Linked DNA regions of Drosophila melanogaster. The protein of the gene in region 3 interacts with the protein of the main gene of each other region in a pairwise test. Each region holds a gene or a part of one and is shown on either strand. Other genes may lie near its edges. The genes, in order: CG18262, CG14383 and AMPdeam.

Evidence for each region.
Region 1: the proteins of AMPdeam (region 3) and CG18262 interact in a two-hybrid assay, tested with the Drosophila melanogaster proteins (one large-scale study listed by BioGRID).
Region 2: the proteins of AMPdeam (region 3) and CG14383 interact in a two-hybrid assay, tested with the Drosophila melanogaster proteins (one large-scale study listed by BioGRID).

What each region holds. Positions count from the first base shown.
Region 1 is NC_004354.4:8,150,861-8,154,616, forward strand, and holds CG18262 (uncharacterized protein), read left to right. Parts: upstream 1-2,087; 5' UTR 2,088-2,183; coding exon 2,184-3,593; 3' UTR 3,594-3,673; downstream 3,674-3,756. Other genes in the region: Gbeta5 (G protein beta subunit 5), read right to left, coding at 207-1,283.
Region 2 is NT_033777.3:12,986,843-12,990,287, reverse strand, and holds CG14383 (uncharacterized protein), read left to right. Parts: upstream 1-1,776; 5' UTR 1,777-1,789; coding exon 1,790-2,788; 3' UTR 2,789-2,803; coding exon of another isoform or gene 2,804-2,855; 3' UTR 2,856-2,912; downstream 2,913-3,445. Other genes in the region: CG31342 (uncharacterized protein), read right to left, coding at 11-152, 264-1,682, 2,804-2,855, 2,932-3,445.
Region 3 is NC_004354.4:13,838,370-13,842,125, forward strand, and holds the start of AMPdeam (AMP deaminase), read right to left. Parts: upstream 1,643-3,756; 5' UTR 1,402-1,642; coding exon 1,197-1,401; exon of another isoform or gene 1,193-1,196; intron 1-1,192.

The DNA.
Region 1 (3,756 bases), 5.7 Mb from region 3:
GTAACCAAGACATCCATGCTGGCAATCCCGACATGAGACATATGTACACACTTGGGGGATCACCGAATCCGTAACTTAACTATCCTAGAGATGCGATGCACAACACAAAAAAAAAAAAAAAAAACAAATCAGAAGAGAGGGAAAACAAAGCGAGACGGCATCTGTCCTGGACAAATGCATCCCCCAACAATAAGGTGCCACATGGCTTAGGCCCACACCCGTATGGTGTAGTCCCAACTGCCGGTGGATAGAGCGGTGCCATCGGGCGAGACCTGGACGCAGGACACCTTGTTCTCGTGCCCGTACAGCAGGCAGACCCTTTCCGATTTCAGCGTGTCCCACAAGTTGACGGTGTAATCGTTGTAGCCAGCAAACAGTAATCTTCCACTGACCGAAAAGTCCACCGAATTGACGCCAAAGATGATGCTCTCCTTGGCGAACACGGCCACCTCGCGATCCGCTCGCATATCGTACAGCCGGCAGCTGCTGTCATCCGATCCAGTGGCTATGGCATCTCCGCAAGGATGGAACTTAACGCTATTCACATCCGATTGATGACCCTCGAAGGACTGAACGACATGACCAGAGCGCATGTCCCAGATGAAGGCCATGCGATCGCAACTGCCCGAGACAAAGGTGTTGCCCGTTTCGTTGGGAGCCAAATCGATGGCCATTACATCGCCGGAATGTCCGTGGAAGCTTTGCAGTAGCTGGCCCGATTCCACGTCCCACAAAGCGCATGTGGAATCGCCACTGCCCGTGAGGATTTGCTGATCGGAATTCGGATAGATGCAGCACGACATGTAGCTGGTGTGGGTGCCCACTGTGCGCTTCTTGGCGGCCATCTCCTCATCGGAGGTTATCGGATACACGGTGACCTTATTGTCTAGTCCGCCGCAGGCCACAAAATTGCCCGACGGCGCGTAGGCACAGGCCATAATCCAGGTGGTGGGCATGGTGACGGCGTGCTCCTTGTTCGTGGTGAACGCATCCCAGATGATCAGACGTCCGTCCTGCGACGAGGAGATGATGTGACGCTTGTCGGGACTCCAGTCGGTGCACAGGACCTTCGCCTGGTGGCCCTTGAGCACCTTACGCGGCTTGATGTTCACATAGGCGATCTGCTCCAGCCGCTCTGCGATGTTCGACAGATTGACGTCGTTCAGCTTCTGGCGCTCCTCCTCCAGTTTGGTCTTCAAATTCTCCGCCTCTCGCACCAAACTGGCCATCTTTTCAGTGGCATTCGCGTTCGCATTGCTCGCTGGCACCGCCGCCTCCGACATGGTTGCTCTGAGATGGCGCTTCTATGGATATCTCTCGGGGATTGTGTGTCCTATCCCGTTCGAACTTCTCCAATTGGACAGCGAAAAATCAATCCGAAAAAAAGTGTATACTCGAATACGAAAATCCGAATACACAGCGATAGGCGCGGTCGGTTATCGATAAGTTTTACCGTTGGTAAATGGCAGAATGTACCGTTACATATCCTTTATTTTCGGAGAACTTGATAAAAGATTGTGACGATGTTATTATTATTAATTTTCATCAATATGACAAGGTATTGATGAAAATTGGCGTCAAAATTTGTTAAATTTTTGTTCTGTTTTTGTTAAAAGCCGGTTTTCCGAATTTCCCTCATAAAATAATCAGTTTTTTGCCCAGAACTTTGAAAATAATTGACCAAATATGGTATGTCATATCTCGTTGAACTCGTAATGAAATTTCCAATCGAATTGCATTCAAATTTGCGAATTCAAAATTTTTCCATTTTTTTGCAAATTTTAATTTAATGTTACCCCTTAAAAAACATGAAAAATATGACACAAAAATAAATTTTTCTATGCCCGCCCAAAAGTGATAGGGTTCGTTAGTAGTGATAATTGGCTGTTCAAAACAGTTATTCTTTAAGCTGCATGATGATTTTCCGCCAAGTTATGACTAGAAACTACTTGTGATAACGAACTTATCGGAGTAAATACCATTTCAAATGTGGCGCCACAACCAAGGTAAGCTCAACACTGCGGTTCGTTAGCCAACACTACCATCAGCTGGGGAAAACCACCCTTCCCCACCCCCTTGAAACAAACACTTACAAAAAAGCGACGCCAACGGCTGGAATCCTCTGCTAATCCGGAGCCAGTTGACCGCCACTTCCACACAGGCAGACCAGGGAGCAAGCCGCGATGATCAAGGTGCAGCCACCGCCGGATGTGGCCGGTGGCTACCACAATCTGCGTTGCGGCGAGGTCTTATTCAGTGCACCCGCCTCCTACGAAGTGAGCTGCTTGCTGTGCGACCAGCGTTTGCCGTTGGACGGCTACCCGGAACACTTCCGGCTGAAACACTTCACGAACAGCTCCAGCTCGCTGTGTTCCAACGAACTGGAAAGCGATCCCATTGCCCAGGACGTCGTCGAAGTACAGGGAAATGAGGAGCTACATGAGGAACTGGCAAAGGAAGCTAGCCCGGACTTAGAGGAGGAGGAGGAGGAGAAGGAGGAAGGTTCCAAACGCCAGCATTACCAGCGTGCAGCGGCCATGAAGAACACCCTGGTGGAGACTCGCGAGGATTTGCTGGACATCGAACTCGACTGGACGGGCGGCGAGCAGTCGGAGCATAATGAAACTCACGAGGAGGAGGAGGGGGAATCGGATGATGATGACACGAAGGACAGCAACGACACGAAGGACATGCTCTTCCAATGCGATCAGTGCGACCGGGCGTACAACACCAAACGCAGCCTGCAGAGCCATCGCCGCCTAAAGCACAGCGAAGCCAACGGCGGAAGTCTGGACAAATCCGCCAGTGAACGCAATAGCAAGAAGCGGAAAGGTCCGCCGAAGGTGTACAAATGCAACGAGGAAGCCTGCAACCAGACATTTCGCACCGAACGCGATCTGCGCGGCCATCGCTGGAAGCACACGGGAATCTTCTGCGACATTTGCGGCAAACCCTTCACCCAGTCGGGCAACATGATGCGCCACCGCCAGCGACACAGTGGCATCAAGCCGCACAAGTGTCCGGAATGCGACGCGACCTTTTACACGCAAAAGGAGCTCTCCTCGCACAGTATCTGCCATACTGGTCGCATGCCCTGCATCTGCGAGGTGTGCGGACGACCTTGCCGAGATCGAGGCGTTCTCACGGCGCATATGCGTCGCCATACGGGCGAAAGGCCGGCCAAATGCGAGGTGTGCGGCAAGGCATTCTATAGCTTTCATGACCTCAATGTCCATGCTGTATCGCATACCAATTTGCGGCCCTTCGTCTGCGACGTTTGCGGCTCCACGTTTCAACGGAAGAAGGCGCTGCGGGTGCACAAGCTGCTCCACTCTGAGCAGCGCAAGTACGCGTGCAAATTGTGCGGCAAGACGTTCGCCCAGTCCGGCGGTCTAAATGCCCACATGCGCAGCCATGATCCGGCGAGAGTTAAGGGAGCTGTGAAGCCGCTGCCGCAATCGGTCACCATCGAGGTGATCGAGGGCAAGAGTCCGCCCACCACCACCATCACCATGGCCATCGACCTCAATGTGGAGGAGCAGCTGGTAAAGCAAACCGAGACTGCACCCACCACTTGGCGCCTGGCCAACTGAGTAGCTAGCTAGGATTAATATAAGGTTAGATGTAGTTCATCTATAAGTTCCAAATTGCGCCATAATAAATGAGAGAAATCAGAAGATTGGAAATGAATTAATAATCGTAAGAAACCAGAAGGCAGATGCATAAAACGATTGATTTGCGGTACAAAAGTGTCCT
Region 2 (3,445 bases), on a different chromosome or scaffold from region 3:
CCGAACTTACAAATAGCGTATTGGTGTTCCTTATTATCTTGTTGGCCTCAGCTGCACTGCTAATGCTCACACCTGCTATGGACAGTAGCTGATCACCGATGTGTAGGGCATTGTAGAGCACAGGGTGTTCCTTCTGCTTCCAGCCTGCAATCCTGTAAACACAACTAGTTAGTGAATCATACCAATTGCTTATACAATTTCCAAATATAATTCGGTCTACATACAATCACCGTGGAGATGATACGAAGTTCTCTCTAACTTACCAAACGCCACCGAAGGCTTCTACCCAAGCGATGGAACCGACGCAGTCCTTGCGCCTTAGATTCAGTCGCACTCCTCCAGGATGCATAATCTCGCGACGCAGCTGCATCACTTGCTGCTCCCGCAAAGTCAATCGCTTGTTGGGCGACTGCTGGGCGGGATTGGTGCTTGACGGAGGTGTTCCCTGTGGCGGTGGCTGCATACGAAAGGCTCCGTTTCGGGATGGCGTAAACTCGTTATTGTTAGCGTTACGCTGCGTTGCGGGCTGAGGGACCCGCTGAAGTGGAGCCTGGGCATCGGATGTGGACGAACTGCGTCGCCGCTGCTCCTGGCTGTCACCGGTTACAATCGAGGTGTTATTCCTTTGCGTTGGCGTAACTTGGGTACTATTGGAGCTGGAAGGCGTGGATTGTTCAATGTTGTTATTCGCGGCGCTGGTTGACTTGTGCGATGTCTTCGTTTTCAGTGGCGTGTTCAACAGCTTTAGGTAGTGGAAATCCCTTCTACTTGGCCGCGAACTAATGACCAGTTCGGTTAGTCCTCGGGTCAACTGCGGCGTCGCCCTGCCGGCTGCATTGGGGGTCACTGGTTGCGCCGTTGCCGGCGAAGCCAACCGACGACGTGGCAAAGCTGGACTGCCATTAGTCACTGGCTGTGTGGTATTCGTGTTTGCCACTCTTGTGGGACTGCTTCTGCTGGTGATCGGAATGCTGGAGGAAAGGAAGACCTTCTCGTAGTGGATATTACCACTGATTATGGAGTCACTGCCCTGTTCTGTATTCACGCTAATATTCGTAATGCCCGAGGTGTTGGCACTGAGTATTATCTTTTTACTTAATCTGGGCGTCTGCGGCTTGGCAGGATTAACAGAGGAAGAGGCTGCGGAAGAACTGGGTGCACTTCCTCCGGCCGCTGGATAGCAGGTGCCGTAGACAGCCACCTTGGTGGTTGCGTCTCCGTCACCCAACACCTTTACTTTCGTGGTGCCCGACACCTGTGAACTGGAGCCATTGGACGAGCTTTGCTTAACGGGCGTTGTATACGGATTGCTGCTACTGGACTGTTTGCCAAGGACTTGAATGGTACTGGTACTGCTACTGGCGTTGGACGGAATGATTTGTACGTTGCTTTTATACTCGTGATGGGTCTGGATTGGCTGCTGCTTGGCATTAGTCTGGGGCTTGCTCTTAACCTCAGGGAATCGAAACACCTCAGCGGTGGTGGTGTTCTTGGGCGGCAGTTCGGGTGGATGTTCCTGGCCACTGTTGGCGGTATTCGACACTTGGATAATTGTGATGTTGTCCTGAGAGTCCGCACTGTTCGTAGGAGCGGCGCTCGAAGATTGGGATTGGAGGGGCTTGCGTTGCGGTCGCTTTGATTTGTCTGCCGCTCCAGCTGACATGGATCGCGATGTTTGCGGTCTAAAAGAAAACAGGAATACATTTTAATATTTGATAAAGAATGCTGACGTCATAGTAGGCTGATTTCTAAATCACAAGCCAGTTTGATATAAACAAATCTTGGAGACATGGCCAAACCGTTTTCTTTGACAGAGGAGAAGCTAGATGACCTATTTGTGCAGGAGGTTGTCAGTGTGGTGAAACTGGTGGACATGCTGCCCGATAAAGATAACATTGTGCCCACATGCACCCGATGGCTCAACATCTTCCAGCAGTCAACGCCGAAGGAACGCTTTTCCAGAAACTATATGCTACTGCTCCTTCATAAACAACTCAATGATCACAAATCGTTGGGTTATCCATTTACGTGGCCGGGCAGTTTCCAGTTGGATTTGCGCACTCTTCACCAAATGAGCCTAAAACCGAATCCCGCAATCGGCAAAGATGTTGTATGCTGCAAATTTGATGAAAGTTTGAATGAGGAGGAACAGTCTTCTTTTAGTTCATGCGAGAATATAGTGGAGGCCAATCGTAGGTTGGTCAAAGAAAACGCTGCACTAACCAAGGAGTCGATGGAGCTTCAATGTCTGATCGATAAGTTGCAGGTGAAACGCGCGGCGGACAAACATGCCATTAAAAGGATAAATGATCAGATTTACATGCTGGACAAGGAGAACCGATATCTGAAGCGAAATTTCGCCTGCTCCTCAATCAGCGCCCTAAAAAGACTATGCAATGGACAGGATCCGGCGATGTTTTTTGACACCATGTTCAGTGTTTTCTGCGAAGACGTATCAGACCACCAGCAGGTGCAGCACTTTAACGAACTCTTCAAAACCTTGCTACATGCCCACATGGATCACTACCGGCGACAGCAGCGTGCTCCTCTGATGGAGGAGGCAAGCCAAAGTTTTGACAATCTGAAAGCCCAGGTGAGCAAGAGATACAAAAATGTGTTGGGCATGAAATTGGATGCCGAGAGCCACGAGCTCACCCTCAGTGCCATGAGATATCTAGCCGTCCTGCGAAAATTGTTCAAGGCCACCTTTAAGGGCAAAGCGAGCACCAAGAAGGCAGTACTCAAGTTCCTGCAGCACAACTACGAGCTTATGAACGAGATGTTGTAGGATGGATTCACTCACCTGGGAATCAGTCGTTCGCATTGCAGAATGTGCTCCAAATTTAGGACTTGATCTACAATTTTAGGTTATATTTTGTAATGTTAGAGTAAAAATTAAATATATTTAGGTTATATAAAAAATATTCATACCGGCAGAAACGCGCTGTCCAGTGACCACCACGACGTCAACGCGAGCTCCATTCTCGGTAAGCATACATGCCTTGCGCAGCAAGGGCGACAGGTATTCGTCATCCGAGAGATTCAAATCGGCATCACTAGTGGTCGGTTGCTCCGCTGGAGGTTCCTCAGCTACAGCAACATCTTCCTGACCAGAGGCTGACTCTACCGACTCACTGATCTGCTCGCTGTAGGTGCTTATGGGATCGGAGAGCATGTTGAGGAGGTGCTGCGTTAAAGTGTTGGACATGGCAGCGGGAGCAGGGGCAGGAGGTGCAGGTGTGGTGGGCACTGGACTTGTTGGTGGCTCAGGAGGTGGTGCTGGCGGAGCCTGATGGCTGGGTGCCACCACACGCTCGACGCCCGGTACCAGAGCCGCCGGAACTGGAGGAGGTGGTGGCAGTGGCGATGTGGGATCCCGCGTGGGCAGCAACGGTGCGCGCACTTCAGGTAGCTTCGTGTAGAGGTTTTCGCGCGGCGACAGAAT
Region 3 (3,756 bases):
TTCACTGTGAAATTATTAATCCGAACTAACTGATATTCAAGATCATTTGAATAGATCACTTGGATGTTTGGTAATAATTCAAATATAGATTATAATAGCTAATATTATTTATTTTAATTGTTCTTTTATATTTTTTTTGCAGTGTAAAACAGCACGAAAGAGACGGAAATGGAGGAGAGAGGGATTAGCGGAGATAGCAAAAATACTGGCAAAATCAAAACACGCACTCAAAACACAACAAACTAGATGAGGAGACTGATTAAAACGATCCGAAGTTGGAATACACTTCAAGGTCACAAAAACAACAATAATCTCCTATCATCAAAGGAATAAACCCGCCGCAAAGAATCATATTTAAGTGGGCTAATTATCTTAACTAAAAAGCTTATTATTCCACAAGGCACCGGGATATATTCGCAGAAACTTGATTGACGCAATCTAAACTGATTTATTATCATTTTATTTTTGTATATTTTGAAGTATGTATCTTAAGAAACCCAAGTGCTATACCACTTTACAGGGTATTATAACTTTCCTATATTTCTATATGGGTTAGTGCGACTCAAGAGATGTTGCGACTGATTGGCAGCGCAGCGACAGAGGATTAGCGCTACACTGAAACAATGCAGTGGTACATACAATAATAAATGAATTAAACAATTTTCAGGCAACTGATGCGGCTTGTGGGCAATATTTGCTTAATAAAACAAGCATTGTTAACAAGTTAAGAAGTTCTTAAATACAGCTTGTAACCAAAGATCATATCTGCATCCACACAAGGCATTTCTTCGAGTGTAGCGAACCGTGTGAGTTATTGCTACAGGTTTTTTTTTTGTTTTGAGTGAGAGTGCTTTGCTGTGTGCGTGGGAGAGTGAATGTCATTTGCTTTCTTTTTGCAGCAGAGAAAATAGAGAGAGAGAGAAAGACAAAGACAAAGACATCGAAAGAAAGAGATGTACAAAGAAACATTCAACTTGGTATAATATTGTAATAGGTAAGCGATGATTTGCAAGAAATAAGTTAGCCCATCTTCATTGATTTAAGGCCATACGTTTTGCTACCAACTGGACTGCTGTGTTTTCGCGCAGTGCACGAGGTCAGTGGGTGGCGGTTGGGTGGTTCGTGTGGCTCGTGTGGCTTGTGTCGTCGCGATGCATTCACTTACATGGGCAGCGGCTGGGGAACTGGCGACTTACATGTCGCCCTTAGGGAACTCGGCTTTTGGGGCATGGACATGGAGGTGCAGGCGTTGAGGGACTTGCCGCTGGCCTTGCTGCCCAGCGGACCGGCCGCATTGGTGGCCGCATGGGACATCATCGATCCGTCAAAGGAGTCCACATCCTGGACGCGCAGCTCGACGGGCGAACCGTCCGAGGTGCTCAGCATTCCGCGGTACGACATCTCGGCAATTGAGATCCTGGATCCTGGGATCCTGAACGGTCTATATTGGCTAACGGCTAATCCAAATGAGTGTTTCGTGTTGATTTGTTTCGATTTTTCTCCGATGTTTACTGATTTGTGTGTTGTGAAAATCTTGAGTGTTTGTGTTTTTTTTATTTTTGTTTTGTTTTTTATGTAATTCCCCCGGTGACAGGTGTCGCCGCTCTGCTCGATATTCTGCTCTGGGGCAATGTCTTTGGGCAACTGTCGGTTCGGATCGGTGGAATATATATACCGCCCGCGATCGACTGCACTTAATTTAGTTTGAATTCCGTTCGACGCAATTCGCGCATCTCCTACGCGTCTGTCTTTCGCTTTTTTCTTTGTCTACGCCTCAGTATTTTCCTCTGCTTTCTCTCCTCTCTCACTCTTTATATAGTTTCACACCTCTCCCGATCCCAGCGGATCCAAAGTTTATATATCGGGTAAAGTTGGTAGGGAGCTTTCTAGTCACTAGCAAACACGGCTGCGGCACAAAGCTCGGAAAGCCCACAATGTTTGCTAATTATAAACAATATTTTGGATAAACAAACTGCATATAGCCACGCCGAATGGGTGGAACGCCAAAGGGGGTTTTCAAGATCAAAGCTCTTCGAACCCAGTAAAAAAAATAGATATATACATATGTACAAATTAGACGATTAACAATATGGCATCGTCTCTAACTTTAACCTCTTCTGATTAGCTAAGAATGGGCATGTGATTTAAAGGACTAACAGTTTTTCCATTTATTGAAATTCGGAAAAACGACTTTTACCAAAAATTTGATATTTACAAACCGAATTTTCGTCATAACTTTGGTAAAAATGGTCATATAGATAAAAGAATACCTGTTTTGAGCAGCTAATTACCAATGCTAACTAATTCTATCACTTTTTGACGAATTTTGGAAAAAAAATTTTTTCGTAAATTTTTGCATTTTTTGTAAGGGGTACCATCATCAAAATTTGCAAAAAATTGCAAAAAAATGGAATTCTAACTTTTAAATACAGTTTGATTGGAAATTTAATTACGAACTCAACGATATATGACATTCCATATTTGGAGCACTAATTTTCAAGTTTTGGTCAAAAAATGGATTATTTTTATACCCAAATTCAAAATTTTACCATTTTTGTAACCCAAAATTTGCGAAAATGGCAACAATTTAGAATTTTTATATTGAAATACTAAATGAAAAACTACTTTTCAAACTCAGCGAGGTACGATACATCATTTTAGGTAAATTTGTATAAATAATTTGGCCAAAAGGCGGACCTTATTGGTCAAAAATGCATTATACTGTGCCACTCTTTAAATTGATTATGGAATTGGTTATTTCTCAACTTGAAACCACCTATATGCTCATTTATCATTGTCAAATACATAATTTCTGCATAATACTTGTAGACCACCAAATTAATGATCCATTTTGGCGATGTTTCGATCGAATCGATCGACAAGTGATAAGTACGATAAGGCTGCCTCCTTGACACACCACTTCAAATTCGTAGTTTGCTATTCCGTATTCTAGTCTGGTAACTTTCCTCTATTAGGAGGGCTCGGCTCGATTTGTTTAACGCCCTGTCAGAAGTGGCTTATCAATAGCCCCCAGATGGGAGCCAAAATTGGAATTGGAATTGGAATTGGCAATGGAGTATCGGTATCGGTGGTTAGCGGTGGGTTGTTAATAACCCATGTGAAGTTTTTTCAGCTTTTTTTCTTTTTTCTTTGATAGCTTCATAGGCCAATTGGTTTGTTCAACCTGGTGGTATTGTGCGCTTTTCGCCATGTCTGCAAGTCATTGTCAGTTCATTTGCCTTATTTGCCGAGTGTGCGATATGCAAACATTCATACATATACTATGCAAATATATATGTTTATGTATATATAGATATATATATTCATATGTATATATTGAAAGATGGGCATTCTTATAGACGTGCATATATGCGTTTGTTTATCTGTTGTACGTTTCAATTTATTATTCGATTGTGCTTAAGCTCATTTCATTTTATCTCGTTATATTTTTGGCAACGCTCTTTGTTTTGTGTTTATTGACCGAATTGCGAACTTATTAATTGCTGCGTTCGGGATTTTCGTGTTTTTTTTTAAATTTTTCTTGGGCAAAGTGCCCGCTGAGATGGCCACTATTGATTTTCACATGAAAATATGGCCGTGACTTGCGTAATGGCAGCCAGGAAAAGTCGGCAAAAGAACGACTTTAGCCGCGGCTTTACTTTCGACTTTCCGTTCGATTCGACTTCGCGCCGACAACTGATTCTGATTTTCCACTCAGTTTTGGTCGGTTTGATTGGAAAATCTGCCACACGTATA